Linked DNA regions of Arabidopsis thaliana. The protein of the gene in region 3 interacts with the protein of the main gene of each other region in a pairwise test. Each region holds a gene or a part of one and is shown on either strand. Other genes may lie near its edges. The genes, in order: ARD3, ATARD2, PFA-DSP1 and AT1G09310.

Region 1 (7,833 bases), on a different chromosome or scaffold from region 3:
ACGACGAGGTCTCTTCACATAATCTCATCTCTTCTTATTGATTTCACATAAAGTGTTTTGTAAGAAAATGTTTCAATGAAAGATTTGTCTGAAAATTTCAGGAGAAAATGGGTAAGAACTGGTTAACATGTGTCTCCGTGGCTTGTTTATCTCCAGGGAAAGACAAAAAGAATCAAGTTGGTGTTTCGAATCTGTTCTCTAATTATTGATTATGATTATGTAACCTGATTATGAAATCAAGATTGCTAATTGTTTTGATTTTGGTCTTTTGGTTTTGCCTTGTTTATCAAGAAACCCGAGAAACCGAAGAGGAAATGGTCGTTTGGGAAACAAAAGAGTAGAGAATCTTTTGATTTCCCTCTGGAGGAGACTCCACCGGTTGACCCTTCACCTTCTTCTGTTCATCGTCCATATCCACCGCCTCCCCCGTTGCCGGATTTTGCTCCTCAGCCGTTGTTACCACCACCGTCTCCACCTCCTCCTCCTCCGGCATATACCATCAATACAAGAATCTATGGTGAGTCTAAAGAATCAAAGAATAGACAAGCTTTAGCTCTTGCATCGGCTGTTGCAGCCGAAGCAGCTGTGGTAGCTGCACATGCTGCCGCGGAGGTTATACGTCTCACGACCCCATCAACACCTCAAATTGAGGAATCAAAGGAGGAAACTGCCGCAATCAAGATCCAAAATGCGTATAGATGTTACACGGTATACAAAAAAATCACTTTTTTTTTTTTGGACAAAATACAAAAAAAATCACTAATTCCTCTTATTATGAAAGACTTAGTCTAATATTTTGAAATTTCATAGGCGAGACGCACTCTTCGTGCGCTGCGAGGAATGGCTAGACTCAAAAGTTTGCTGCAAGGAAAATACGTCAAAAGACAAATGAATGCGATGCTTAGCTCAATGCAAACTCTTACACGTTTACAAACACAGATTCAAGAGAGGAGGAATCGGTTATCTGCAGAGAACAAAACTCGTCACAGGCTGATCCAACAGAAGGGTCACCAGAAAGAAAACCATCAGAATTTGGTAAATCTCGTTACATTTTTTGTTGAATGAATGTAAAATTTATTCAACCATGTTTACAATATATGCAACCGTTCATCTAAAAATATGACAAAATTTAAAAAGAGTCATCCCATTGTTATGTGGTAAAATCTCCCTACATTTTACCACACTGGGTGAACCAAAATTCTGAACTGGAGCATATTTTGTTGTAGGTTACCGCGGGAAATTTTGATTCCAGCAATAAATCAAAGGAACAGATCGTGGCAAGGTCGGTGAATCGAAAAGAAGCTTCAGTAAGACGAGAAAGGGCATTGGCGTATGCTTACAGTCATCAGGTAAATATAAATTAAAGACAACATCATTGTGAACTTAGTCATAGTTGTTTATATATTGATGTTGGAAAATAAAACAGCAAACATGGAGAAACTCTTCAAAACTTCCACATCAGACTTTGATGGACACAAACACAACAGATTGGGGTTGGAGTTGGCTTGAGAGGTGGATGGCTTCTCGTCCGTGGGATGCTGAATCCATTGACGATCAAGTTTCCGTTAAAAGTTCTCTTAAACGCGAAAACTCGATCAAGAGTTCTCCTGCCAGATCTAAAACACAAAAGTCAGCTAGCCAAAGTTCTATTCAATGGCCTGTAAACAATGATACAAAGAGTAGAAAGATCGAGGTTACTAATCGCAGGCACAGTATCGGTGGTGGATCATCTGAAAACGCTAAAGATGATGAAAGCGTTGGTAGCTCATCCTCGCGCAGAAATTCGTTGGATAATACACAAACTGTGAAATCCAAGGTTAGTGTGGAAACAACAAGCAACGTGAGTAATGCACAAACTGTGAAACCCAAGGCTAATGTGGGAGCAAAAAGAAACTTGGATAACACGAAAACTTTGAAATCCAAGTCTAGTGTGGGAACAACAGGAAACTTGGCCAACACGGAAGCTGTGAAATCTAAGGTTAATGTCGGAACAACAAGTATGCCAAAGAAGGAGGTTGTTGCTGATAAGAAGAAACCTCCACAGATGGTATTGCCAAAGAAGAGGCTTTCATCTTCTACTTCTCTTGGGAAAACAAAGAAATTGTCGGATTCGGATAAAGCAACAACTGGTGTTGCAAATGGAGAGAAGAAGAGAAGAAATGGTGGTAGCAGTTAACCTAAAGTAATAGCCTTATCTAGACCAAGATATTGCTTTGGTGGCGGTTTGATAGATTTAGCATCTCAAATGTGAGATTTGTTTTCTATCAACGCAAATAGAAAAGAGAAAGAAAAAACAAAAAAACAAAGAGTGTATTTTGAAGACCTTATTTTGATTGTTTTCTTTGGGTGAGTACAAATGATGTATGTCTGTTTCGGTTTGGTGTTTATCTGGTGGATTATTTGTTTACATTTTTTAAAAATTTAAACCATTTATTTCGCGTTAATGTTTGAAAATAGTCGTTGAAATCGATTCAAAATGACATATGCAATGGTTACAAAAAGTAAACGAGAGTCTACGTGAACTGGAGCTGGTTTGTGACAAAGTTTGTTATCAATTTAAGAGTTTGTTAAAACCAAAAAAAAAAAACAAGACATTGTATCGGGATTGTAAAAATTTGGATTGTGGAGCTCTCAATGAATATGTACAATTGAGTCTATTGCTGGATTACGTTCTGGCCGAGACATATCAATCAATCAGACAGGTTGCTATGAATTAGTAAACTTCATGTAGTGGATCATTCTTCCTCTTTCTCTGTAATTTGTCCGTAATAACATCATCAAACTCAAGTTTCTCAAAGTTAATTTTAATTCAATTAATAACTTCGAATATCACACATATATGATTCATGCCGTTAATATTTTTCTTAGCATGGTCTTACTGAAAATAAAATTTAAATATTACTATGAAAAATTATATAAATCACAAAACTAGTTTGGTTTTCTTTTGTGTAGAAAAGATTATCGGAAATAATTTCATGTTTATTTATTTATTTTTACATCAAAATTTTAAAATAGAAACACAATTTTCCATTAAAAAAATTCATAAGATTCCAATGAGCTTCCAAAGTAATTTTTTTGGAAGCCTATATAGTCTTAGATTTTGATAATATTTATGAAAAAAAAGCTAATTCTGAAGTACACTGAAACAAATAACAAATACATGACGCTTCCATTTTTATTTTTTTCTAACATGAAGCTTCCTTACACGTAGAAAGTTAAGTACATCGAAACAAATACCAAAGACCTGAGAAAGTGGATAGAAGTCTTATTATTAAGAACAATAATTGATAAGAACAAAGCATCTTATTATTTAACAAATGCAAATAGAGTAAATAGAAGTCGTGAGACTTCGTGACGTCATCACTTCTTCGTCATCTCCTTGACACTTCGTGACGTCCTTGTCTTCTCGATAAAGGTGCCTAAGAAATGGAAAGAGTGGTTTTGTGTTCTTACTTTACATTTTTGCACACAGAAAAATGCTAGCGGTTTCCTTTTTTATCTATATAAATGGTTTCTTTCTTTCTTCATTTTGAACACAAAAGAAGAATAACCATGGGTGAAGCCGCTAAGGTAATATAAACTCTTCCTTCTTGATTTAGGATCTATTCCCATTTACTTTAGAAGTGTTTTTGCTTAGCATCAGATTGATGTTTTCTAGGATCAAACTGAAGAAGTGATTCAAGCTTGGTACTTGGATAATAAGGAAGAGGATCAGAAACTTCCTCACCACAAGGATCCTAAGGAATTTGTATCTTTGGACAAACTTGCAGGTCTGTGTGTATCTTCATTGTTGCACATACTTTTATTCTTTCACGTAGGTTAATAATGTTTTTTTTTTTTTTTGTTCAGAGCTTGGAGTACTTTGCTGGAGACTTGATGCTGATAACTATGAAACCGATGAGGAATTGAAAAGGATCCGCGAATCTCGTGGTTACTCCTACATGGTTTGTGACATTTATTTGATGCCTTTTTTTAATATCTTCCTTTGTTTGGTCTTTTTTTTTAACAAAAAATAAATCTTCGTTTGTTAGTTGATTATTAAATATTCGTTTTTGATTCGCAAACATTTGGATGTTTGGTTTTAGGACTTATGTGAGGTGTGTCCAGAGAAGCTTCCAAACTATGAAGAAAAAGTAAAGATGTTTTTTGAAGAACATTTACATATTGATGAAGAGATCCGTTACTGCCTCGCAGGAAGTGGTAGGTACTTTTATTCGCTGCTTTAGTACTTAAATAAATTCGATATGGTGCTCATTTATTTTATTTTTTCTTAAAAACAAATCAAAGGATACTTTGATGTGAGGGATCTCAATGATATTTGGATTAGAGTATGGGTAAAGAAGGGAGGTTTGATAGTCTTCCCTGCTGGAATATATCATCGCTTCACCGTGGACTCGGACAACTATATGAAGGTTCAATCTTAGCTTCTTCTAGTTATTAATTCATACTATATGAAGGTTCAAGTAATATATTTTTGGTTGCTTAGAAAATTGGAATTTTCTTATATATTGAACAGGCAATGCGTCTTTTCGTGGGTGGACCAGTGTGGACTGCTTATAATCGCCCACATGACCATCTTCCTGCAAGGTACAATGATGTCTTGTTCTCCCATATTGTCACGACAAAGCTTACTAGATCTGTAGTTATATATCTAAGCAAAGAGGCGACAAAAGTGTTTATGTATATTCAAACGGCTATTTTATAGGAAAGCGTATATGAAAAAATTCTTGAAGGTGATTGGGGACCGTAACATAGACGCTTCAGCGTAAAGAACTCTCGGGGATCAGATTTCTATAAGCTAAACATATGTTTAGATGTTGTCTTTAATTATGCTTTATTATGTTTACAACATGGAAACCGAAGACATTTTGGTTCATGTGTCTTTTGGCATTATTGTTGTGATTGTAATGTAAAGAAGAAGGAAAATGACAATATATGAAAGCAAGAAAATATATAAAACTATCGGTCACTATTAGTCTCAACCTACTGGTGTCTATGCATAATACATGATATACATCCGTTACTGTAAATAAATAAAATGATTATTTGAATTGAACACATTACTTATGGAGTATCCATAATCTCATGTTTTTAGAATTTGTACCCAATGATAAATAAAATCAAACAAAAGAATTTCTAGTCTTTTGTTATATTCTTGCCTCTTGGTGACTAAGAAATCGATACATTTAACTAAAAAAAAAAAAGATAAAAAAGAAGAAGAAGAAATCGATACATGTACACATCAAGTATATGTCTTGTTATTTTCCAGTTCATGTTTACTCCCTCTGTTCCTAAAAAAATAATGTTTTGGGTTTTTCACACAAATTAAAAAATGTAACTTTAATATTATTTTTATTACTTTTCTATTAATCTAATAATATAAATTTTACTTCTCTTTTCTCTCTATTGGTTACTAATAAAAATAATAATAATATTAACCTACAACATCAAACTTGATGAAACAAAAATAAAACTCAAAACATCAAACTTTATAGAACAGAGGGAGTATAAGATTTGGCTGCTTCAGACATTCATCTCAACCTTTTTCTCTTTCTTTTCTTTTCTTTTCACATGCACGTTAGTATATATTGTGGTGTAAAGTGTAAACTTTCGCTAGGAAATCACGTTCTCTAGCAATGATTTGGTTTTAAAAACATTGTTTTCCCCCTCTAATAAGATTATTACTCTGTTTTTTTATTTTGTTTCTCTTTGATATAAGAGTCGGAATCCACCAATCCAATTGACAGACGGTTCCAAAATATACATGTAGGAGACACCAAAGCAAGAAAGATTTATGTTCAAATGAGCTAATTAACATAGAAATATATTTTAAACTGAAAAAGATAGCTCATTGGAGTTTTATTTAAGTGCTAGAAAGTAAAGAAAAAGGAAATTTACTTTAGAGAATAGCCAAGCTATGATAGATTCCTAGATTGAGATATAAAATGATGAAAAAGAGAGTTGTTCCAAATGGCAACTCCCAGAGTTATAAAATCGATTTGGAACAATTGGTTTATGCATATGCCTTATGGGTAAAAGGATGAAAAAGAGAGTTGTTCCAAGTAAATTGACCCATAAGGCATAAATTAACCAAACTTCAAGACCTAGTTTATAGTTAATGCCAAGTACTTCCAACGAAGTCCATGATACGACTTTTCCACACGCGGTACTTTATTACTTCTAAATCATTTCGATTGAATAATTCATGTGCAGAAAATATATTTAAAACAAAAAATAGCTACTAGTATACTTGAAACAAGCTATTTCATCAATCATCACATCTGCATATTCAGAACCATTCTTATATCTTCCCGTACACCTCTTCTTGGAAAAAAATGGAGTTAGGAAAATCAATTGAGAACCAAAACAACGTCGTGGCAAGACTAGCAAAGAAAGTCATTGAAACAGATGTCGCCAATGGCTCCAATGTTGTCTTTTCACCGATGTCAATCAACGTTTTGCTCAGCCTCATCGCCGCTGGTTCTAATCCCGTCACCAAAGAAGAAATCCTCTCATTCCTCATGTCACCGTCTACGGATCACCTTAACGCGGTCTTGGCCAAGATCGCGGACGGCGGCACCGAGAGAAGTGATTTGTGCTTATCTACGGCTCACGGTGTCTGGATCGACAAGTCTTCTTATTTGAAGCCTTCCTTTAAAGAGCTTTTGGAGAATTCCTACAAGGCTTCTTGTAGTCAAGTTGACTTCGCAACCAAGGTAACTTTTTTCGTTAGGGATAAATTTTGCTTCAATTATTATGGGACCGAAACTTAGACTAATCCCTATAACATAGATATATAAAGGTGAATGTTCGTGTTATTTAAGACGTTTAATGTGGTTACGAAGGAGACGGCTATATCACATTCTCTTTTTTTATTTCTTCAATTTCTTGTGTATATATGACATCCAACTTCACTAATGATTGGTCAATTTTTATCGCTTGGTCATGAAGCCTGTTGAAGTGATTGATGAGGTAAATATATGGGCTGACGTCCACACAAATGGACTCATCAAGCAGATTCTTTCACGCGATTGTACCGATACTATCAAGGAGATCCGTAATAGCACACTTATTCTAGCAAATGCAGTGTACTTCAAAGCAGCATGGAGTAGAAAATTTGATGCAAAACTAACAAAAGATAACGATTTTCATCTTCTTGACGGTAACACGGTAAAAGTCCCCTTCATGATGAGTTATAAGGACCAATATCTAAGAGGCTATGATGGTTTCCAAGTTTTGCGCCTACCTTATGTAGAGGATAAACGTCATTTCTCCATGTACATTTATCTTCCTAATGACAAAGACGGACTAGCTGCTCTGCTTGAGAAAATAAGCACTGAACCAGGATTTCTTGATAGCCATATTCCACTTCACCGTACACCAGTCGATGCTTTGAGAATTCCGAAGTTGAACTTCTCTTTTGAGTTTAAAGCTTCAGAAGTTTTGAAAGACATGGGGCTTACTTCTCCATTTACTTCCAAAGGTAATTTAACTGAGATGGTTGATTCGCCTTCGAACGGTGATAAACTGCACGTCTCAAGCATTATTCATAAAGCTTGCATTGAGGTGGATGAAGAGGGAACCGAAGCTGCAGCGGTCTCTGTTGCCATCATGATGCCCCAATGTTTGATGCGGAACCCGGATTTTGTAGCTGACCATCCATTTCTGTTCACTGTGAGAGAAGACAATAGTGGAGTAATTTTGTTCATTGGTCAAGTTCTTGATCCTTCTAAACATTGATTGAACTATGTCGTGTGATGAGCGTTGTTCGGTTTGCAATAATGTAGGAAACCCCGTGGTCTTAGTGTGCTTTTCCATTGTGTCTCCTACTTA
Region 2 (7,987 bases), on a different chromosome or scaffold from region 3:
CGCGCTTGAGATATGCAGGCGTGCAGCGGAAGTAGCGGATTACCGTCTAAAGAAGAGTAACATATCTGCAAAGAGTCAGCTGGTGATTATGGCAGATGTTGAAGTAGCCATTCAAGAGATGTTTCAGGCACCTCATATTCAAGTTATGAAGAGTGTATCGAAACTGAGTAGGATCTTCTTGACGGCTATGGTTCATGAGCTTTACAAAACAGGAATGGCAGAGACAAGCTTTGACAGAGTAGCAACAACAGTATCGTCTATTTGCTTAACCAATGGTGAAGCTTTTCCCGGTTGGGACATTCTTCTCAAAATCGGTTGTGATCTTGGTGAATGCAGAATCGTTCTTTGTGAACCTGGAGAGAAGCACAGATTGCAGAAGCTGCAGCTTAATTTTCCAAGTGATGATGTTGCTTTTGCATTGAAAGACAATAAGGATCTTCCATGGTTGGCCAATTACTTGTGATTTTTTGCTAGTTTAAGGAAAACTTTGGAGAGATTGATAATGTAACACAGTTTGATTTCTGGAGTATAAACTATAAATACAGTTACAACACAACCATAATGCCAAAGCCACACGAATCAAAGTTTCTTCACAAGTGGATCTGTAGATGACATAATATCCAACATGAGACAGAAAGCTCTCTTTATTGTATGCTTAGTTTATAGAAATCTGATGCATAAGACTGAGAATCCTCTAGGCTGACGCGTCTATGACACCACCTTCATTCACCTTCACGAAATTATCGATGTACTCTTTCCTGTAAAATAGCCGTTTCGATATCCATAAACAGCTTTTCTCGTGTCTTTTCTTGGATGAACTTTTGCAGAGTAAGTTTTTGATGAGACAAAAGGGGAAAACAGAACATTGTACCTTGCAGGGAGGTGGTCGTGTGGGCGATTGTATGGTGTCCAGACCGGTTCACCCACGAAAAGCCGCATTGCCTGCTCAACAAGATATTTCAATTTTCTAATCAACCAAATATATATATGATGAATTAACCACTCTGAAGAAGCTAACATTGCACCTTGATATAGTTGTCTGAGTCTACGGTGAAGCGATGATATATTCCAGCAGGTAAGACTATCATACCTCCCTTCTTTACCCATACTCTAATCCAAGCTTCATTGCGATCCCTCACATCAAAGTAACCTTTTCCCAAGAAAATGAAACGTTGAGAATATAGATACCGACTTAAATCAAGTAAAGCAGCCAATAAAAGTACTTACCGCTTCCTGCAACGCAGTAACGGATCTCTTCATCAGTGTGCAAATGTTCTTCGAAAAAGCTCTTCACTTTCACTTCATAGTTTGGAAGCTTTTCCGGGCATACCTCACAAAAGTCCTGCATTTTGAACACTTTTCCATCATCAAACCAAGACTCAAGCACATAAAACAATTTGCAAATCATCAACGAATTTTCCTAAATACATTCAGTAGAGTAAGTGTTACAATTGAGTAAAACCCTAGAGAGTTAAAACAAGACTTGTTCAAAAGTAAACATCTAGCATTCAAGTCTATATAAACAAACCATGTAAGAGTAACCACGAGATTCGCGGATCTTTTTCAAATCCTCATCGGTTTCATAGTTATCAGCATCAAGTCTCCAGCTAAGTACTCCCAGCTCTGCACACAAACATTACATCTGAAACAAATAGAGAAACAGAGAGAAGAACACTGAATTGAAACACACAAAGAGACCTGCAAGTTTGTCCAAAGATAGAAACTCCTTAGGATCCTTGTGGTGAGGAAGTCTCTGATCCTCTTCGCTATCATCCATATACCATGCCTGGATCACTTCTTCTCTTCCATCCTAAGCAAAAACACACATACACAAACACAACAAGAAAACATAAATTTATGATGCTAAGCTTGAAAGAGAAACAAAAAACGTTCAGCAATTAGTGAAATTTTCGATTGCAACCTCCAAGACAAAGCCTGAATTTCATACACAACAAGTGAAACTAGAAAACATCAAATTTGATGATTAAAATAAAACAAAAATCAAAATTGGAATAGTGATCAGTGATTGAAGACCACTTAATTAACAATCGGCGGCGATTCATGTTTTCATAGCTGAAACAAGAAATTTTCCGATGAGCTTTCACGAAATCAGAATCAGAAGCAAGAGATTTACGATTACCTTAACCACTTCACCCATGGTTGTTTGTTCCTCTTCTTCTTCGTCTTCTTCGTTAGGCTTTTTATGATTCCTCTTCGTCTTCAAATCCACGCGATATATGCCTTCTCTCCTTTTCAAAAGAAGTCATTTTCGTTTTATCTTTTGGGACAAAAACAGAGAAAAAGGTTAAAAGACTAAACTACCCTCCATCCGCCGGCGTGCGGCGAGGGAAATGCCGCCTCCACATATATCCGTTTCAGACTATTTATCACATTTTTGAGGTTTGAGAAAATGTAAATACGTTAGTTAGAGTGGTAATTATTGTAAAAAAGTTAACAAAGTTAAAAGTTAAAAACTGGGTTAAAAATGGACAAAAGAAGAGAAGTTTGGTGGTGTCAAAGTAAGACTCGAGTCGAGAGTAAGAAACACTTTGGCTAAAAGGTCTCTCTCGTTAAAAGTGTCAAGTAAGACATCATTTACACATTACAACACCTAGAAAATGAAAGCCCTTCTTTCACCTCTCTTGTCTCTACTCTCTGTGACTATATCCTCACAAAAAGAATCAGAAACAAGAAATTACCACTAACCTACTAAGCTCTACTCAAAACTATAGACCAAAAATTATGGGTGCAAAACCCCGGAAACACAAAAGAAGGCCGATCCGAAGAGAGGTTTCTTTTCTTCATATCTTTGAGCTTACAAGCAAGCAACTGTTTCAACGCCTATTCACAGCTTATAGCATCTCCACGTTTCGGTATCTTGTTAAATGCCTGGAGACCAAGCGAGGAGAGTTATGAGGGAAATCATCCAAACCACTGATTTAACAAAGCTTTATATATGATTCTCTTCTTACCTTCACTGTTTAGATCAACTGAAAGATTGGGACTTTTTGTCTGGCTTTCAGGTGACTGGCTATGCAGTGGAGATCCGGTGCAGCCTAGGTTTTGCGAATATGCAGCTTTCATCCGTGGCTGACAATTCAGAAACATCTCCAAGCTAGAGGACGCAACTCCTGGACACTTTTTGGCCTTTGAGAATTTTCTGCACATTACGAAAACATATCAGTTTATAGCGATTTTGGAATAAGCGTAAGTATATAAATGCACCTGTCTTTCCGCTTTTCACGATATCTTTGCAAAGATACCTTTCTGTTCGCCTGGCCCTCCATACCTTAAGAACGACCCAAAAAACATAGAACGACGGTTAGATTAATAAACTTCACAGGTCATATAACATGCAGAACAACAAGCAAGCCAAGTTTCCTCCAAGTTAACAACATTAGCATAGCTTTGCACAGGTGAAGATGTGTTGATCAAGTTTCGCTCCGAGAATCATTAAGGTAATATGAATACTGTTCATACCAGAATCACGAGAAGAATTCGCCTTCTCAAGGCCTTTTTGGGGAAGTTCCATCATCTTCTCTGCAATAAGATTTCACATTTTCAATTTGATTTTTGACTAATTCAAACTAGACTCTGAAGAAGGAAAGTGGAATCACTATCACAAAAACATGCAAGAGGCATTTGGATATTTTACGCAAGGTAGTATAGCACAATGCAACATTTAGACATACTTCCTTGGTCAACTACCCATGCCTCCTTTCAAAGTTGGACAAAACAAAAGCAGTGTTTGCAAGAAGAGAAAATAAATAAAAAAGCTCTACTGCGTCAGAAAAGCTGGTCCATGAACTTTTTCCAGTTTGATGATACACAAAACAAAATCATTTCATGTTTGAATCATCTATCTATCAACTGAAAAACAGATCAGACACTTTAGCAAAAGCTTACCTTTACTTATGAGCTTTGAAATCATTCTACTGGAAGCAAAAATACCGTTTTCAGGCAAATCAATTGGATTGGCTGCAAAGTGCATGATTGACCGGGCCTGCAAACCAATACAAAGGATGAATGATCAAAAACATGCCAACAAAATTTCTATTTTCAGACTGGACAGAATAATGTTATTGATTTACCTTTTCAGGTGGTATTCCATCATACACATTCACTTTTCCACTATAGAATATCGTCATTTGCCCAACGAGCTCACTTGTTTCAGCTGGGCTTCTGATGCAAGATTACAGACAAGAATGTTTAATATGCTTGTAGAACAACAGGCACATGCAGCAAAACCTTTTCTTAAGCTTTCGTAGATGGACTAGGGAAAAAACCCTCTAACTTACAAAATATCATTAAGGAATTCAAGTAACTAATTATTATTTCAAGTCACATCAGTCATATTGACTATTATTTTCCATTTCTAAAGAGATCCAGGATACTAAGACATAACGAAGATGATCTTCGATCACACGATCGTGGCCAACCTAAATACTATCTGACAAATCCACCATCAATGCCTTGAACCATATATAGATTCTGTCTCTAAGGATGTGATATTGAACCAAAAACTTCCTAATATCACAAACTTAATAATGCAATGCATTACACTTTTCTTGAATTAAACAACATTCCAGTTCCAGATGCATAGAAGCAGAAAGGTATCAAAAAAAATTCAAATACGAAAATGTAAACCTGGGAGAAATAGTCGTCTTGTGGCCATCTTTCTCGGATACAAAGTGACCAGACCCACCGGAAAACTCAGCTGATCTTGGAGAATCCATTCTATGGCACGCGCCGTTATCTTCCGGATAAGAAACCCGGCCACAAGCTTCCAGCTCGTTGCTTGGCTCAATCAACGTTGTTGTGACCTGTAGATATCAGAACAAACAAGGCAACTTAGATTTTCACTTTTTTCAATCTGTGAGTTTAAACGAGAAATAGAAGCAAAATCGAAGTAAATATCTCACGCGAGGCGGATTTACTGGCTGAGAAACGAGGATCTTGCGGAAGATACCGGCGCCGGAATCGTCTCCAGGCTCATAGAGAGCTTTAAGAGATAAAACTTGCTGGATCGCCTGAGATTTGTTCCACGACGGTCTTCGCATTCCTATTTCGACATGTGTCAGCCTCCATTCTCAGAATAAACAAGCAAAAAAAAGCTCCGACAGAGTAGAGAATTTCAAAATTTGACTTCCGCTGCAAATCGGAGAAGGAAACAAGACTATGGAGAAAGGTAGAAGAAGAAGAAACCTTTGTCTTTGAGGAATTTGCGGCAGTCTTCGCGAGTGAGCTGAGAAATGTCCTCTTCAGTGAGTAGCTTCAGAGGTTTCGCAAGTATAGACTTCGCCGGTGAAACTCCGACATCCATCTCCTCCTCTTCACCGGAATCCCGGCGAGAGAGCAGTGGCGTTTCAGTAATAATCGGAGGTTTTGGGGGTAAAATTAGGAAGAATGAGAGAGAGCGGAACAGTGGCGAGAGAGAGTGAGGTCGAATAGTTTTTCCTATGGGGGAGTCAATTTGGGGGAATTGTTCCCGGAGCAGGGAAACTCCCTAGACTGCCACGTAAGCTCCACGTCTACATAAATTATTATAAGCCTAATCATGGCTGCTAAACTTGCTAAGTTTACTTTTATATCCCCTTTTTCTTCCATTCAACTACTGTTTATTGTAATCCATTAAGATAGGAGAATAAAATGATTACTCCAATTCTATAGACTATAGAGTTAATGTAGGTCGGATTTAAGGAGATTCCAAACTCTAAAAGGAAATTACAAAAGAAAGCCACAAATGTAAACGAAAACGAAAATCTTATGTCCAACCACAAATACACAAAACCACACTTTTCTTCCTTAGAACCGTGAACATGTTCGATAACAACAACCACCAAACGAACCATCCTTAAAACCGTCAGCATGTTAAGATACACAACAACAACCAAACGAACCATGGTTTAGATTAAACCAAAGAAGTTGACGCGGTTGGACGTATTACTTCTTATTAGTTTCTTCTAATTTGTTGGTTTTTGAAAAGCAAATAAAAAAGAATAGAGATTTGTGTAAAAACTCAACATATTGCACATAGGAACGAACGTAAGACAATATGAATCCCAATGTAATCTTTTCGTATATGGGATACGACAAAGATGGTAAAGAGAGACATATCAGAGAGTGTAACTAAGTTTACAACAACTCAAGCATACCAAAAGCCATCATTCTACACAGGAATACATATAAATATCCAATACTTGACAGGAAAGCTTTCTTTATTGTAGGCCTTGTTTATAGATCCTTGTTTCAGAAAGCCAGATATAGAGAGAGGAAGCTCTCTAAGCCGAGGCATTGATCATGAAGTTATCGACATATTCTTTCCTGTAAAATATCAGAATTTATTTCTCGTAAAATAACAGAATTTCTTGCTTGATTATATATCCCATTGTTTGCATAAGAGAACAAACAAAAGGGGAAAACCCAGGACATTGTACCTTGCAGGAAGATGGTCGTGTGGGCGATTGTATGGTGTCCATACCGGTTCACCCACGAATAGCCGCATTGCCTGTTCAACAAGATATTTCAATTTTCTAAGCAAGCCCAAACTATAAAATAAATGGCTAGAAGAAAAGCTGACATTGCACCTTGATATAGTTGTCAGAGTCCACAGTGAAGCGATGATAGATCCCAGCAGGTAAGACTATCATACCTCCCTTCTTTACCAATACCCTAATCCAAGCTTCATTACGATCTCTCACATCAAAGTAACCTTTTTCCCAAGAAAATAAAACATGACTACTATATCGAAATTTTAAGTTTACGAGTAAAGCCGCCAGTAAAAGAAGTTCTTACCAGTTCCTGCAACGCAGTAACGGATCTCCTCATCAGTGTGTAAATGTTCTTCGAAAAAGCTCTTCACTTTCACTTCATAGTTTGGAAGCTTTTCCGGGCATACCTCACAAAAGTCCTGCATTTTGAACACTTTTTAATCATCAAACCAAGATTGAGAAAACCCCTAGAGAGTTAAAATAAGACTTGGACAAAAATAAACATCTACCATTCAAGTCTAGTGGGATAGTAAATAAATAAAGACCACAAACCATGTAAGAGTAACCACGAGATTCACGGATCTTTTTCAAATCCTCATCGGTTTCATAGTTATCAGCATCAAGTCTCCAGCTAAGTACTCCCAGCTCTGCACACAAACATTACATGTGAAACAAAATAGAGAAGCAGAGAGAACAACATTGAATTGAAACACACAAAGAGGGGGACCTGCAAGTTTGTCCAACGATACAAACTCTTTAGGATCCTTGTGGTGAGGAAGTCTCTGATCCTCTTCACTATCATCCATATACCAAGCTTGAATCACTTCTTCTCTCCCATCCTAAGCAAAAGCACATCAAGATGGGATTAGATTCCTTGGGAGGCAATGTTCAGATATTTTATATTTAATCTGATTTTAGCTTCAAAACTTCAGACAATTCGAGAAATCGTCAATTGCATAACTAAATTGAATACGAATAGGCATTAAACTGACTGCGAGATTTGAGCAAAAGAAGTAGTTATGATGATTCGAAAATCGTCGAAAATGAATCAAATCACTCAGATAACAATCGACGATTCATGCTTGCATCGCAAAACTAGGAATTATCGATTGGCATTAACAGATCAGAAGCAGAGGAGACAAAGATAAAAACATACCTTGACCGCTTCACCCATCGTGTTCCTCGTGATGTCTTAGTCCTTCTTCGTCTTCAAAACCACCCGATTACTCGATTCTTCTTTTTAAAACAGGGAAAAGATCAAATAAATAAAAATCTTTGGTTAAAAAGACTAAACTACCCTTATTTCTCAACTTTATAGAAGAATGTTGCAAATCTCAGACATATCACATACATCATGCCATGAAAATAGACAAATTAATTATCTCATACATATCAATCACAAAGAAGTTGTGTTACTTGGACCTCAAAGATTGGTATCATCAATAAGGTCTCTCTCATTATAAGACAAGCATTTACATAATACAAACCGCCACATC
Region 3 (9,338 bases):
ATGGACAATGGGCTGCCCATGGGCATGAATTGAGGGAAAAATACAATTCTCCGATTTTACGATTTTGACGGAAAAACGTAATTCCGCAAATTTCCTCTAAAACGCGATTTTATTATATTGGCGAGAACACAATTTTACAGTTTCGACGGAAAAACGCAATTCTCCGATTTTACGGTTTTGGCGGGAAAACGTAATTTTTCTGCCAAAATCGTGATTTTATTATATTGGCGAAAAACACAATTTTACAGTTTTGGTGAGAAAACACAATTCTCCGTTTTGGCGGGAAAAAACAATATTACGATTCTACCGTTTTGGCGGAAAAAAACAATTTCATAATTTTTCCGGCAAAATCGTGATTTTATTGTATTGGTAAGAAAAACACAATTTTACCGTTTTGTCGGAAAAATGCAAAATGCAAAAACACAATTCTTTAAAATCATGATTTTTGATTTATCAATAATAAAATGGGCTATACATGGGCTTGCCCATATGGACATGGTCTTTATTGGGCATGAACATTTTTCGGCCCATTGTCCATTATGGACCGTCCAACTTGGCCCATAAAAAAAACTGTCCATACGGACACGCCCAATGGTCCCTGGACGGACCATTTGACAGCTATAGATTTAACACCATCCTTGCCTTTTTGGCCAGTTCCAACTCGAGTCCTTTTTCTTTCCAATCACTATGGAAAAAGTGGTGTGGCTAAAAAAGCGACATAATTTTGTTTGTTTAATCTATAAAGTGGTTTTGTTTTTGTAAACTTCTGTTTTTTTTTTTCATTTCATGTCTAGAAGAACATCACTTAATTACCAAAGAACAATTTAGTGCATTATTCTTTTTCCTAAAAGAATACAAATCTAAGAAGCCTAGTAATACTAATGTGCGTCAAAATAACACTCAAAACAACCAGAGGAATGCTCAAATTCGGAGGACAAACAAAAAAAGGAAGGCTCAAAGTGATCAAGATCAAGAGCAGATTCAAAACATGTAACAGCATCATTGCCTTTTTGGTAACCTGTTCCCTTACGTTCTGTTCTTTTTTTTCCCCCTCTCCATATATATCCTCTGCACCTTCAACATCATCCAGTTTCGACAAAGAGATAACCGCTGTTCGATACACCTCTTCGCACTTCTTAAAGTCATCCCAAAGAGTTTGCAGCAACTCTCTTGCATTCCATACCACGTTACCATATATCTCTAAACAAACTCTAACGTAAACCTTTGCCATTTCAACTATCCTGTCTCTCTCCAGTTTGATTCCTTCTTCATCAACCCACATTCTCATAAACATCTTTATCGCCTTTACATCGGCCTTCAAAACAGTGTTTGCAGTGACATTGTCGGGTTTCACATCGTCAGATCTCGCGTAAGAGGTTAAGAGCGTGGAGTAATCAATCATGTTTGAAGGGATACTTTTGAAGAACTTGTCTGCTTCTTCTAAACCCAACAGTGTCTCAATCAGATAAAGCCGAGCTGCATAATCTTTCTGAAACAGAGTACACACCTTTTCTTTACCCATATATCTTGATGCCTAATAATACCACAACCAAGAGCACATAATATGTAAGAAACCACAAATTGGTACATAGGTTGAAGATCAGGATTTAGAAGAAATAAAAAAAACTCGCGTTTTTGAGAAAATCGATCCGAATCTCGAAGATTCTTATGAGCCCTCTGGTGTACAATTGTTTCTCATGTTGCTGCAAAGACGCTTTGACCCGAATAAGCAGAGTTTGGCTAGCCTCGGGTGACCATAAGGTTGCATAGGAACGGAACAAAGAACTCTTGTAGCCGCAAGCAAGAATGCGCTTTGCATGTTGTTGAAGAATCGGTGTCATGCTTTTTATTAAAGTAAATGATTAACAACACTCCAGTAGAGTGTTTCGTATTCGTGACCTATAAGGACAACTATCACTCACTTATAGCTAAAAATTGGTACTGGCCTTAGTTAGGTTTCATATTCGTGACTTAACAAACTCTTCACACATCTAGCATGTCTTTTTCAACTAATAAAAATAATGATTAATTCCGTAACTGATTCAAAAAAGAAGTTATAGAGTTATGTTAATGATTGGTCAGTAAATCAAATTAGTCCATATATTTCGGTTTAGCATTACATTGAACAAATTATTTACACACTGATGGTAGTAGCATTTTCCTCTACACACGATAATAACAAATCATGTTCTGAAGAATTGAAATATATGAGCTAATAATCGTTAAGCAACATTCGGGATAACCCAAGAAAATACATATATTCCTAAACAAACTCCTGTATAGTTTACTTTATATATATACGTAATTATCTACCTTTATGCTTACACTGAGCAGTAAAAAAACAGAGTGAAGTCATTATAACAACGAAAACCTTTTCTTTTCTCGAAATAGTATTATTGATTCCAGAGAAAGGTAAAGAAAGAGAAGAATGTTTCCTCTGGAACTCTAATATGATTAATCTCTCCTTTTTATCTGAAGATTTTAGCTTCCCCTGTTTACCTGATGGAACAAGAGAATGACATTGGAATATGACTGAAGCTGGAAACATCGAATATCTCCATGAATCTTTGATCTGAAACTCTAGCTTTCGCTGCTGCAAATCGTTGGTACTCGTCGAATATCGATGTCAAACACCATTTCTGGAGCTTCCTCAAGCAACCAACAAGACAACCGGTCCGATGCTGCAAATTCCAGATTCATACTTAGAAACTCATTTTCTTCTTCAGTGGTGGAGACAAAAGATGAAATGTTTAGGATTGGAGTGAATGATTTACCTTGCCTCGCTTACAATGAATCAGAACAGGATGGTTTTTCTCATCTGAGGATTTTAAAAGGAGAGTTGTTAATAAACCAAGTTAGAATTAGAAAGCATACAAAAAGTGTGGTTACATGTGTTCTTTTATTTCAGCGCTTCTATATGATTCATAGTTACCTAGAAGCACTTTCAGTGCCATGCGGATTTTATGGTCTGGAATATTCACAAATGGCTCCTGAAAATAAGAAGAAAAAATGTCTTTTTAAAATTGTAAGATTATATGTCAAAAGATCAATCACACTACTAAATTGAGCAGATTAGGAAAAGATAAAGCAATCTAATAATCAAGGTTCATGCACAAGCAACGTCGAGAGAGACAACCATGCAAAGGTTCATTAACAGGACAAAGTCTACAAGTTATGAAGCATGTCTAATGTGATACCTTTTACTGGTTGCGTACTGAGAGAAAGATTCTTTACTTTTTTATATCAAAAAGTTATCTCCACACACAACAACAACAACACGGAATAAACACAAAGTCCCATTGAAAGACGAATCTATGAGAAGAAAAAAGCATAGCAAGCCAAGAATATCAGCGATAAAGGTTTCCTATCAAGATCGAAGTTGTCACACTAATTATAAAGAATCTGAGTCCAGAAACAAAAACAAAAGTCAATGAGATCCAGATTCTTCCAATAAAATCACTACACCAAGAAGAGAAAGCCACTTTATTTTCATCTTTAGTGTAAAAGCAAAACTAGGGAACTATGGTAGTAAGTATCTAAACGACTCCCCACATAAAGAATCGACTATCCTAGGAGTAGAATCGACAGGGAAAAGGTGGATTCTGTGGGGGGAGAGAATGATAGCTACTGCATACCAGAACAAACATATTTTCTTTCAAACATATCAACTCAAATTAGATTCATACCCATCTCTTCAGGAAAGGCGAATGGTAACTCATGAGGGTAATAAGTTCAAGACTCTATGGTGAAGTTTTTGGTTATTCTATCACTTTACCAACGATTTGCCCAAACATGAGCCACTAACACATAGAAAAGGAAAGGAACTAAAGGTACGTATTAAACAACATTAACCGACTTACAACGTAACCATCTATCATTTTCCCAGCAATTCCTAACCTTATCTAGATTTCAAACCTTACAGCTAATATGGACACTTTCACGATCAACACGCTTTCTACAAGTTTTTACCATAAAAAACGGTTTACTTGTACACAATCAAAAACACTTTCGCTGATGTATGATTTCATAAGATATCATATCTGTATAAAAAAGTGCACACTCAATAAACATGAACCAAGAAAACAATAACAACAGAAAGTAAGCTATTGAGTAGTGGGATCATTGACAACACTAGCAACAAGTAGCTCAGCAAATATTTTGACGTAGTCCATAATCTAATTTTATAAATAGAGAGTAGAAAGAACAAGTGGGGAATAGTTGCTGAAGGGGCAGAAAAACAAAGAGTGGGACCAAATCAGTGGAGGTCAAGAGAGACGGAAAGAGCCAAAGAGGCAAAACAATAAAGAAAGATGTGTTCTTTTTCTGGTAAACTCATAATAATAAAATATGGCTTGGAACAGAGTGCCCATGAAGGATCAAATTCAAGAGAAAGAAAACACAGAAACAGTTTTAGTAGTCTAAAGTAAACAACAATGAGACAGGATTTTCAAGAACAATTAGGCAATAAATATCAAGCAAATAAAACCCTTCAAATTGAATGAACTATGATATATTCCAGAAATAGTATCGTGTTCCAGTTAATATATGTAGTGTGTACCAAAGTTTTCGAAAGTCCATTAGTTAAGGGACCCTGTTTCTGATGCTTAGAATTCCATAAATGCAAGGAAATCTCGTTGTCTAAGTCAGGAACACACTGCAGCAAGATATGATTTTTCCATTCAGAGAATTCTCCTAGTGAACTATCCAAGTAAGGTTTAGAATTACAGAGCAATTAAAAACGGAGACTTGATGAAGAGAGAGGAGAAGAAAGATGGTTACCTTGTTGCCTTCAATACCAAACTGGAAAAGCCTGATTCCATTGGATTTAAGGAACTGGAGATTGCTCTCTGGGTAGGGCTCCGGGCACAAGTATCTTCACAAATTCGAAAAAACCTAAAATCAGCAATTTCGAAAGTTTGATATATAGTATACAAAATGTCATGAATGTGGAAGGAGCTTTTACATGATTGAGCGGAGACCGAGAGTCTGGAGAAAGGAGAAGTTAGCTGAATCAGGGAATCCAGACCGGAATATACCGTTATCGACCATGGAGAAGTTGAGCGGCGGAATTAGGTGAAGTTCTTCGCCGGAGACAACTCGAAAGGGATCAGCTTCACCGCCCGGAGCCTGAAACACGTTTCTGTTAACCTCGGAAACCTCGATGATGGTGCGGCAGAAATCTTCTCCATTGTCCTGCTCTGTAGTAGTCGTCTTCTCCACAAGCTTCATCTCTGAATTGGGAAACAGAGAAAAGGTTGAATCTTTAGGTGAGGAGAGTCGAGTAATGGAGATGGTCGTTACGTAGCGTCGACCTTGGGGAGGTTTATATGGAGAGAGACTTGTGACTCTGTTCAAAATTCAACAGACGAAAAAGAACGCAAAGGAGATGGACCCAGCAAGGACTCCTTTTTTATTTTTATTTTTTGTTTGTCAATAGCTGTTTATTTGTTTATTTTTAAAGAATTTGTGACATTTATCTTAAAAGCTTTTTTGTTTATAATCTGTTAAGTGTTTTTACTTTTTAGATACCTTTTAGCATATGTGAAAATAGTTGATTGGATCTACAATTTCATACTGAAATCCGTAATCTGTAAAAAAAAAAAGCTTAGAAAAAAATAAGTTGCCACTACACAAAAGAATCCAATATTAGAATAAACAGTTTAATATTTTATATTTACTCAAGTTGAGCTGAAAACAGCAACATACGGAAACTATATAATAATTAACAATACACGAATTTTGTAACGGTCTATCTTAGTTGTACATGCTACTACCATTTTTATCAACGGTTGATAATAACAATAATAATAGTATGATGGTCTAATTTGAGGAAATAACTGTTATAACATTTTCAAGGATTATTAAAGTAAACAAAATAAAATGACTTTGCAGTTTTGCAAAACAAACGAAAAAAATGATATTACATAAATTGTTCTTGTTAATAGGAAAGCACTTGTTGAAGCTTAAATTGGCATCATTGTGGAATCTTTTTGCTCACACACAATCATCTTATTCGGGTAAATCACTCTCATTGAATAAATTATCAACCGAACCTAAAATCATTTTTTGACTATATATTTTCACCAATATTATAATATTTAATATTTTGAATTTGAAGTTTCTGACCTATATTTACCTTGAAAAAGTCACTTATTCACAATATACAAAAATATTGACTACTACATACTAACATACATATATATCATCATTCCAGGAAATAGCGAAAATATAGATTCCAAGCGAAACACAGAGAAATAAAAAGAGAGAGAGAGATTCCAAAGGACAAAGAGCAATTACTCTGCTAAGTGGGAAGAACAATCACTAATCTGAGTCATCTGGCATTCATAAACGCACCTTTATTTAAGTTCTATGGGATCGTAATCTGAGTACATTAATTACTTCTATGTTCCTTTCACATTTTGTTTTGTTAAACAATTTCATAATATTGTTTTGAAATGTATAATTTTAGCCAATATTCGGTTTTAATATTTGTTACTGCCTTTTTTTTTTTTTTTTCCACCAATTTGTTACTGCCTTGAAATAACTATTTAATTGTGTGAAAATAAAATTCGGTCCAAACTATCTACTGTAGTTGCCATTTCTGTCATACATGATACTACATAATAACACGGACGCCGTGTTTTACCTTTTTTTTGGGGTCAAATTTCGTATAAAGAAAAATGGAGACGAATGTTTTTCTTCGGTGCATAATCGCACCATTTAAATATATGTCTATTACATAATCAAAACGAAATAATGCAAAAAGAACCACATCACGACAATACATTATTAGAATCCACGTCACATATTTGTCTTCCACATAACACTCACACCAGAAAACTACTCTTTTCTAATTAAAAAAAAACAGATGATAACTAAGCTAAAGACATAAAATTTGTAATGTTTAGTGTCCCACACTGGACTTTAATTGGATAAATTACTCCATAAAAACAAAATGCACCAGATAGTTTTTTTATAAGAAAAACAAAAAAGGTACATTCCAGGGAATATACCTTATGATTCTCAAGGATTATTGCGCCGCGAGCACTCGGCCACGTACGAAAGCGTTTTGGATGCCGTTAAAGAACTTTCCGTAAAAAGAACGTACGAAAATATCATAATGCCTTCAATTTATCTTTCGAGAATTTGTTCTAATTTGTTCTAATTTTCCAAAACATTGAAATTTTCTCACGGAATATAAAACATTAATATATGAATTAATGTTTTTCCAAAGCATACGTAAGCCTCGCTATACCGTTGCCCATTCCGAAGTTGCGTATCAAAACGCAAAAGGATTACAGTGAATTAACAATACGAGAAGACCGTTCATGAGAGTGAGTATACGCACATTTTCAATTGAAGTTATTGGAGTTGTTAATTAGTTGCATGCATCTAACGATCTAAGTCTCCGATTTTGACGTACAAAGATTTCGTCCATTATTGTCGTTTTTCCATATCATAGAAATTTTAATTTTTTCATGCATGATATCCATTCATCCATGATCATCAAGATTCAAAGTCGTGACTTCTTCTCTTGTCTCTGGCCCCACATTTGTAGACCTATTATTGGTTCATAGTTAGGTTCTATTTATGACTAATATCTAGTACAATATATCAACTTGAGAATTTATCAACTATTTGTTAGGAATGATATATTTAGCTCACTTTCAATTTTCTTGGTGTATTATCATTTATATATTTAGCATGCCACTTACTAACGTTTTATTAGAGTTGCAAAAAGATCATTTAATATTTCCCTCAAATAATTATGTGAAAACTTCAAATAAAAACAAGAATTTTAAACATACGAGACGAAAATGTAACATGGTCATTATAAATTGTTCACACACACATATTCTCTTGACATTAAAACCAAAAAAAATTTGTTTACATAGAAGATTTCGAACATCAAGACATAAAATGAAAAAAGGAAGTATCAAAAAGAGGCCCTTTAAAGCCCAATTTATGGGACCTTAGGCCCATTGTAAAGGTATCAACATCCTCCATTTCAGAAAACGTAAGATTTTACAAAACAGACCCAATAGTATTATTTTACCTGTTGCCAAGGCCCATTTGTTGGAGAAACCGACCGAAAGGAGTACGAGACTAAGAAAATCTCTTGCACATGTCTTTGTAATGGATCCGTCCTTTGGACTCTCTCTTGGATGTTGTTTCTGTCTCTTCAACAATAAATGATTAATTGTATAATTAACGAACGATCGTTCTTAGGGCTAATAGGGAAATACACCATCAATGCGCATGTACATAACTCTAATTTCATTTTAAAATCACAGGAATTCCATTTTTATACAGAGTCCAAAATTCATACTTTATAAAAACCCTTTCCACATACATTACCTTAATCTAGTAGGAGACGGAAACTTGAAGTCATAGGAAACTAATTAAAGGGGAGAGTCAAAAGAAAAATAACAAAAAGCCGAATCCATTTTACTTTTTTTTGTTTAATATGTTGTTGACGTGTAATAAAAAGTATTTGGAACGGTCAAACCAGTAGAAGAGAAAAGCGTCAAAATCACGGAAAAGAACATAGGTGGTCATCAGAGCAGAGGATCACTACCTCGTAAGCTAACGTGGCGTAATACTGACGTCTAAAGATCACAGCTCTTACGCTGCTCCAGTGACCAGCGAATCGTAACCTCCGATTCTGTCCCTTTTTCTACCGGTGGGTCCCAACCACTTTACAAACTGCGAAGCATAAGATTTCTTGTGCCAGAAGAATTACATTGTTCTGACTATTTTACCCTTTTACCCCTATCTGGATGATATTTTATTTTTATTTAGTAAAATCATATATTTTCATTACAAGAAAATTGTATAGTCAGTAGGTAATTCAGTATTATTCTCTGGAAAACCGATGGTTAAAACTTGAAAAAGAGCCAAGCTGCCAAGGTCTAGCTAGGTTCACAATGAACCGTCACATTGAAGATATCAGACCAGACCAAGCAGGGGTAATATTGTCATCTCAGGTACATCAAATTTATTATCTTGTACACGAGGAGTATTCATTTTTATTTTTTAAAAACACGGTTAATTAATTTTCTTCCTTTTCACACAGAGACATCGGAGGAGAAAAAAAAGGGCAAAAACAAAAAACAAAGATCCGAAATTTTTCCTCTGGAAATATCTCAGTGAGTGTCTGTGTAAAACAAAAAAAACAAGGAAGAAAATTTACTACATTTCTGTATTATTTAGCATTAAATGGATCTGTTCCAACGATAATTCTCTGTCTGTGATAAAAGAAAAATTGAATTTTTTCTTCTATCTATCTACCTCTGTTCTTCCTCGTCATTTCTTACCCAGAAAAATAGAGGATAACA
Region 4 (6,964 bases), 1.6 Mb from region 3:
CGCGGCTCGTGGTACATGGGAAAAGTAATCACCATCCCATCTTCCTCAGATAAGGATTCCGTTAAATGCCAAGTCGAGTATACGACGCTCTTCTTCGATAAAGAGGGGACGAAGCCACTGAAGGAAGTTGTCGACATGAGTCAGCTTCGTCCTCCGGCCCCGCCAATGTCTGAGATAGAGAAGAAGAAGAAGATCGTGGTTGGGGAAGAGGTCGACGCGTTTTACAATGACGGTTGGTGGGAAGGGGATGTGACTGAGGTTCTGGATGATGGGAAATTCAGTGTTTTCTTTAGGAGCTCTAAGGAACAGATTCGGTTTAGGAAAGATGAGTTACGGTTTCATAGGGAATGGGTTGATGGAGCTTGGAAGCCTCCATTAGAGGAAACAGAAGAAGAGGAAGATGAATCAGAGGAAGACAAATTAGACGACTCAGAAGACGAGGAGGTAGGTAACACATTCTCAATGATACTTGATAACCTTTCTGTGGAAGTTGTTTAGTGGAGACTTTTGCTTTAGTTCTTCTAGAGCAATTTATGAGAATGCACTTTAATCATGATAGTAATAAAATGCAGGATATTTTAGCCCGAGTGGATCTAGAAACTACCAGAGCAATCGCGAAACAAATGTTTTCCAGTGGCACTGTTGTCGAGGTTAGCAGCGATGAGGAAGGTTTCCAGGGGTGTTGGTTTGCAGCTAAAGTTGTTGAACCCGTTGGCGAAGACAAATTTCTTGTTGAGTACCGAGACTTGAGAGAAAAAGATGGTATAGAGCCTTTGAAAGAAGAAACCGATTTTCTGCACATAAGGCCGCCACCACCAAGGGATGAGGATATTGATTTTGCTGTTGGTGACAAGATTAATGCATTTTACAATGACGGCTGGTGGGTAGGTGTTGTCATAGATGGTATGAAGCATGGAACGGTTGGTATATATTTTAGGCAATCACAAGAGAAGATGCGGTTTGGAAGGCAGGGGCTTCGTCTGCATAAAGATTGGGTTGACGGGACCTGGCAGCTACCACTGAAAGGAGGGAAGATAAAGAGGGAAAAGGTTCTGTATGATTTCCATATTAATTATGAACTCTAGACAAGTTCACATAGATCATTCTTATCCCATTCTTCTTTATGTGCGACATATTCTTCCCCAAATATGTGTGTTTAAAGTTTTTATTTTGATGTGTAGACTGTTTCATGTAACCGGAACGTGAGACCCAAGAAAGCAACTGAGAAGCAAGCGTTCAGCATTGGAACTCCGATCGAGGTTAGCCCTGAGGAAGAAGGATTTGAAGATTCTTGGTTTCTTGCAAAACTTATTGAATACAGAGGAAAGGACAAATGCCTTGTAGAATATGATAATCTGAAAGCTGAAGATGGGAAAGAGCCTTTGAGAGAAGAGGTTAATGTTTCACGGATAAGGCCTCTGCCACTAGAGAGTGTCATGGTTAGTCCATTTGAGAGGCATGACAAAGTTAATGCTTTGTATAATGATGGATGGTGGGTTGGGGTGATTAGAAAGGTTCTTGCAAAGTCATCTTACCTGGTTCTCTTTAAAAATACTCAAGAGCTGCTAAAATTTCATCACTCTCAACTAAGGCTACATCAGGAATGGATTGATGGAAAGTGGATAACATCTTTTAAGGTATGGTTCTAAAACGATCAACTCATTTTATCACATATAACTTCGTTATTTCCCCTTATATCTAAGGTTTCAGCATCGTTCCTGCAATAGTCATTTTTCATCAAGCTTTTACTGATGAAGTTGCTGTCATTAATTTTGATTTCAGTCTCAGAAGGTGTAAATGGGCTGGATAACTCGTCAGGATTTTGGGATTTCAAGTTTTGTTTTTCTTTGAGGTACTTGTATCTCTTAGTCAGTTAGTCTTAACCCTGGTGTTCCCTTGCTATTGTAGATAATTGCAGTTATGATGAGTGACTAAGATGCAACAACCAGTTGATATTTTATTCTTGTTCCATGACATAGTGCGATTCTCATTGCTCCTGATTTCGGTTGATTATTTGATAGACAAGTTTTTGCTGTAACACTACTTCCTTGCCTTGTTGATTATCCATCCTATTGTCAAATATTTTTCGAAAGAGGTAGGCCATATTACCTACGAAGTTTAGCATCTTATGAATGTTAGGAGTGTATGCTCTCAGTTTTGCTTGCGAAGAGGTTTCCCATGTTTTTGAAGTGACATACAGAACCAGCTGTATTGTAGTTTATAGATAATTAAGGATAAGTTTTAGTGGAACAGGATGATATTGATATCTTATTACAGGTAAAACAAGCAGCAACAAGTGGTAGGTAGATAATACATGATAGTTAGAGCAGTGAGAAACACTAACTCTCCATGATTTGTTCAAATTCTTGAAGTACACTTAAAAATTCGGGTCTCTTTTATCTGCTGAAGCTGAGCTGATTAGGCCGCCTCTTTGACTGCGACAGCCTCCTTGATTGCAACAGCCTCCTTGGCCTCGGTGGCTTCGCTGCTCTTCTCCTTGGCAGGTTCCTCTTTGGCAGGTTCCTCCTTGGCAGGTTCTTCTGGGACTATAAAAGCTGTGACCGGGAAAGTCCTGGACAGTGTGGTCGGTGTCTTGAACGTGATCTTGGTAGGGGGTTCCTCGGTATAGATCTCATTGATAGTGACCCAAATAAGAAGTTCCTTGGCTTTGACTCCAGTGAGCTTCTTGATTTTCCCGGTCTCAACAATGGCTGTGACTTCGGTTCCATAGGAGACAAGCTTATCTATCTCTGTGAACTTGTGAGTGATGCTCTTCTTCTGCTTCAGCCATACAACACCTGACTCTCTGTCATACCCAACCTCTTCTATATCCTTCAATGGTAATAAACCATTGGGCATAGATATTTCCTTGAGGAAACACTTTGTCTTCTCTCTACATATCTCATCTCCGGTGTACATCTCTGCCTTAGCTCTCACCTCCTCTGTAACCAAACCCATCTCTGTTTCTTTGTATTTAGTTTTAGCTGTCTTAAAGCTGAAGTTGTGTTGTGGAGAGGTAAGGGACTTAGCCTAGTGATATATAGCTGACGTGTTGTGGGTTTGCCCTTGGTTTCCTGATCTTATTACGGAGAATGCCACCATGTTTAGAAATTAAATTGTATGTGAAATACACTCGGATTGAGAAGATACCTTTGACTTCATACAATTTTGGCAAATTTATTAGTTTTGGTATCAAATTGAGACCAACCCTATTATAAAATAACGGTAAAAAACATCACTATCGAAAACGACGTGATCGATTGTTCTTCTACTACAAGAAATTTGAAAAAACCGACAAGACCATAATGTAAAATCTAAACTCTTGATTCTTGAAGATGAGGTGCATGTAAAATCATTAATGGCCATGGTTGGGCAGGTTTATGGGTACGTCTTGTCAGCTCTGTGTTCCAGTTTCGGGTTAAACCATATATCTCTTACATGATCGTTCATATGGCTATCATCATCACAATATTAATGATGATGATTATTGTGATGTGGTGCATGGCCCCGTCCATATAAATGCAGTGCCTATCATTTCACATTCTCTCCACCTGCTAACCAGTAACCGACGGCCTCCTCAATTATTTTTTATATGATTTTAATCGAATAGAACATCTATTTCTTGGGCGTTTAGTGTTACGTGTTAAGGATGACATATACTATTTACTGTATAGTGCATTATTTATTTCTTCTATCATAAAAGCAACCATAACCAATAAAGACTAAAGTTCACATAACTATAAGTGTTCCAACTCCTAACTTATTGATTGTGATATGTGACCTTTCTCGTAGTAACTCGATGTCTTTTGGTTTTGCTATTTACAAATTCCACACTTCAGAATGCGTAAGATTTCTTCAAAATGCTTTGATACATTCTATGAGTCAAACGCAAGGAACAGGAGTTTACGTTTGAATTATTATCAATGATGTTTAATTCAAAACAATCTTCTTGGGTTACGGTTCGTATGCAAGCCTTTAACCTTGCAAAGAGAAACTGGCGAAGTTCGCGCAGAGTTATCATGGCAGTGATTATTCAACAATGTCTCTATGTGTTTGATCTCCTTAGGCATTGACCCTGTGAGCACTTCGTAGCCCGTCTCAGTGATCAGTACGTCATCCTCGATCCTTATCCCAATCCCTTGGAATCTGCAATGAGAAATTTCAATAGTAAAGTCACTTAACCATGGTCGATAGATCAATGTCATATCCTGCGGTCGATTTGCAGTCAAACCACTCAGATCTACACAGTTTGATACTTGTTGGCTGCAAACTTTCCTACAAAACCACGCTTTTACATGAAGTTAGTCTAAAGAGAGCATGTGTACCTTTCAGGGCAGTCAAATGAAGATGGAATATAGACTCCTGGCTCAATCGTAATCACCTGTCCAAACAGCGATCATAAGTTGACATCGAGAGTCTGAAAGATCATTATCTAGCAAACACCAAAGCCAGTCATTTGATGTAATTTAGATTCTATTGATAGCACCATCAAACCATTTGTCTCAAACGTAAGGACCCCAATGGCATCACATGACAAATACATAAACTTCTACGATCAAGATTCTAAGGGCACATATCGGTTTTAATGGACTAGCATCAACAAGCAGAGTGTTTGAGGCAGGGGGTATGTAGAAAAGTGAAGATCTTATTAGCCTGAGTTTGGGTTGCTTATAAAAACTAAGACTCGAGAGAGTAGTATTACTTACAAAACCAGGTTGCAAAGGACGGTCATATCCCACAGCAGAAGAATCATGCACATCCATCCCAAGGTAGTGGCCTTTTTATTAACCAGAAGAGAGCTCTGTTAGATAAGTTTTTCCCCAACCATACAGTATATTTTGGTTATATTATAACTTTTATACAGCATAATGCGGGACAATAACAAGGATTTTACCATCTACACGTCAATCAGCCTTAGTTGATTGTATTTCATCGACAAAAATTGCAAATAAGTTAATGTGATCGAGGTTCAATAATGCATACCTATGGAGGTCGGATTCAGCTGGTGATACAGTCTACGACTTTTCAGGATGCCCATCTTCATCAGTCCATCACACAACAACTCGGTCTGCAAACCACAAAGCATCATCTGAGTCCAAACATAATTTTGTTTGCAAACAAAGCTTTTAAGTTTTCTGATGGTATTTATGAAATCTTTTTTTTTTTTTTTTTTTTTTTTGTCGAAATGGTATGTATGAAATCTCTGATCCATTTTAGCTTCTGAAATATTTGCTAACAAGCCTTCGACAGAAGTAGAATAATATTTTCACATCATAGCAAACCTGTTAAGAGTAAACGGTACATTTTGTGTGTTTGATACATCTTAAGTACAAAGACACGGCTTAAGATAGTTTGTAATTACCGAATATGTGTTTAGTTGGCGGATGGTTGTACCAGGCTTGCATTGTTTTATGCATTCTTTGTTTGTCTGAAGTATAAGATCATATAGCTCTTCCTGGAAAAAACACAAATGTCAATATTTTGATAGAGAAAGTTTTAAGAAAGCAGCTGTACAGTTACTTTTCATCTGTGTAACATAATTGTGAAATCGAGCGAAGGTCACCAAAAAAAACTATGTAACCTGCACATGTCCAAATTCTGAAGATTTCCTAAATCAATATTATAAGGAAAAAGCTAGCCTGTGAAACGTATATCTCAGAAAAAAGTAAGAAGTTTGGTAGTAGAGAATGAGATAGTAAGTAAGGTTTATCTCTCGTTTGCATCATACAAACACCACCGGCAAAGCACAAACGTAAACAGAAGAATATTGAACTACCAGACAAAAAAAGATGAAAGATGAGACAGCAGAAACATCAACCTGAACAGAACTGAATTTTCCGCAAGGTGGCCATGTCCGAGTAAGATCACTAACATAACCATGTAACTCACAACCCATGTCCATCAAGACAAGATCACCATCTTTAATCTGCAGATAATTATAAAAAGAAGATACTGGTTTCAGGAACATCTCTGTACTAGCAATCAAATAGGGTTTTGTCAAACTTACACGCTGATCATTTCGTGAATAGTGAATAACACTGGCATTTGAACCACCACCGACTACAGGATTGAACCTGAGGAATAAATCATGTCATTTTTCTTGTCACTAGAATAAGAATACTAGGAAATACTTATTGTAATAGACCCTGAATCACATATTTATTCATGGAATAATTGTCGAGACTTACGCCATTCGCTGAGCACCTCTTACCCGGCACTCATATTCAACCTGGGCTGATAAGATGCCTTCATCAGGAAACCCCTTTGAATGTAACATTGTTTTCAGAAGACCCTGAGGATGAAAAGATCAAAATCACTCCATACGCTCATTGTCTGTAATAGCTATTATTTTCAACAAATATGTAGAAAATGGTTCATGACGTTTTATTGGCTCTATGTTCCTTTTCCTTAGCACTTTGGCCACAAGACAAACGTAAAATTTCTAATATATTCACTTTCACATATCATTGAGCAAGGCATTGCTTTCATGAGCCTCCAATCACAATAAAACACCCTCAACCAAAATTGTCCCATCAGGCCATGGCTTGGGAGCTTTTTATGGGTGTGTTCGTCACTTTGTCAGATCAATTCTTGAGATTAAATTCACTATATACACACACAATTGTCTGCAAAAGTTATCAACTTAACCAACTTTCCCCATTATCTCTTGTAAATTTCTCCAACATCTTAAATTTCCAGTTACTCTCTAGCATCTCAGTTGTACTAAAAAAGCTAAAAACAGAAATTTTCTAAGCATAACAATGGCTTTGTTGGAATACAGGAATACCTGGCACGCAATTGATGCAGACTCTCTCATCAATTTGAGTTCTGCAGGTGATTTAATTAACCTCAGCTCATGTGTTAAACTTGAAAGAGTTTTCACTTTGCCAAGAGATGCTGAATTTTGAAAGTCATCCAAGTTTGTGTATCTTTGCGAGGCCGATTGAACATTATGAAACACTTT

What was found.
Region 1: the proteins of PFA-DSP1 (region 3) and ARD3 interact in a two-hybrid assay, tested with the Arabidopsis thaliana proteins (one large-scale study listed by BioGRID).
Region 2: the proteins of PFA-DSP1 (region 3) and ATARD2 interact in a two-hybrid assay, tested with the Arabidopsis thaliana proteins (one large-scale study listed by BioGRID).
Region 4: the proteins of PFA-DSP1 (region 3) and AT1G09310 interact in a two-hybrid assay, tested with the Arabidopsis thaliana proteins (one large-scale study listed by BioGRID).

What each region holds. Positions count from the first base shown.
Region 1 is NC_003071.7:11,228,994-11,236,826, reverse strand, and holds ARD3 (acireductone dioxygenase 3), read left to right. Parts: upstream 1-3,465; 5' UTR 3,466-3,507; coding exon 3,508-3,570; intron 3,571-3,658; coding exon 3,659-3,770; intron 3,771-3,849; coding exon 3,850-3,944; intron 3,945-4,085; coding exon 4,086-4,200; intron 4,201-4,287; coding exon 4,288-4,412; intron 4,413-4,516; coding exon 4,517-4,705; coding exon of another isoform or gene 4,706-4,769; 3' UTR 4,770-5,057; downstream 5,058-7,833. Other genes in the region: Iqd4 (IQ-domain 4), read left to right, coding at 108-176, 292-708, 811-1,035, 1,227-1,349, 1,427-2,176; AT2G26390 (Serine protease inhibitor (SERPIN) family protein), read left to right, coding at 6,336-6,716, 6,952-7,740. UniProt on the Arabidopsis thaliana protein: Catalyzes 2 different reactions between oxygen and the acireductone 1,2-dihydroxy-3-keto-5-methylthiopentene (DHK-MTPene) depending upon the metal bound in the active site.
Region 2 is NC_003075.7:8,424,203-8,432,189, forward strand, and holds ATARD2 (RmlC-like cupins superfamily protein), read right to left. Parts: upstream 2,270-7,987; 5' UTR 2,159-2,269; coding exon of another isoform or gene 2,141-2,158; exon of another isoform or gene 2,074-2,140; 5' UTR 1,973-2,073; coding exon 1,949-1,972; exon of another isoform or gene 1,811-1,948; coding exon 1,699-1,810; intron 1,624-1,698; coding exon 1,529-1,623; intron 1,343-1,528; coding exon 1,228-1,342; intron 1,151-1,227; coding exon 1,026-1,150; intron 946-1,025; coding exon of another isoform or gene 943-945; coding exon 872-942; intron 759-871; coding exon 695-758; 3' UTR 501-694; downstream 1-500. Other genes in the region: ORC1A (origin recognition complex 1), read left to right, coding at 1-463; PPD1 (TIFY domain/Divergent CCT motif family protein), read right to left, coding at 2,882-2,889, 2,973-3,160, 3,226-3,289, 3,481-3,540, 3,907-4,003, 4,092-4,182, 4,648-4,823, 4,923-5,062 and 1 more; ARD1 (acireductone dioxygenase 1), read right to left, coding at 6,282-6,324, 6,438-6,508, 6,588-6,712, 6,796-6,910, 7,044-7,138, 7,219-7,330, 7,648-7,665. UniProt on the Arabidopsis thaliana protein: Catalyzes 2 different reactions between oxygen and the acireductone 1,2-dihydroxy-3-keto-5-methylthiopentene (DHK-MTPene) depending upon the metal bound in the active site.
Region 3 is NC_003070.9:1,421,551-1,430,888, reverse strand, and holds PFA-DSP1 (Phosphotyrosine protein phosphatases superfamily protein), read right to left. Parts: upstream 5,351-9,338; 5' UTR 5,230-5,350; coding exon 4,964-5,229; intron 4,874-4,963; coding exon 4,780-4,873; intron 4,655-4,779; coding exon 4,559-4,654; coding exon of another isoform or gene 4,490-4,558; exon of another isoform or gene 2,991-4,489; coding exon 2,933-2,990; intron 2,819-2,932; coding exon 2,775-2,818; intron 2,682-2,774; coding exon 2,496-2,681; 3' UTR 2,020-2,495; downstream 1-2,019. Other genes in the region: AT1G05005 (PPR containing protein), read right to left, coding at 833-844, 1,019-1,476, 1,628-1,841. UniProt on the Arabidopsis thaliana protein: Cleaves the beta-phosphate at the 5-position of soluble inositol pyrophosphates.
Region 4 is NC_003070.9:3,005,103-3,012,066, reverse strand, and holds AT1G09310 (plant/protein (Protein of unknown function, DUF538)), read right to left. Parts: upstream 3,158-6,964; 5' UTR 2,959-3,157; coding exon 2,419-2,958; 3' UTR 2,169-2,418; downstream 1-2,168. Other genes in the region: AT1G09320 (agenet domain-containing protein), read left to right, coding at 1-444, 573-1,049, 1,182-1,637, 1,783-1,797; AT1G09300 (Metallopeptidase M24 family protein), read right to left, coding at 3,936-4,146, 4,326-4,381, 4,707-4,777, 4,984-5,068, 5,363-5,455, 5,819-5,926, 6,008-6,074, 6,189-6,292 and 1 more.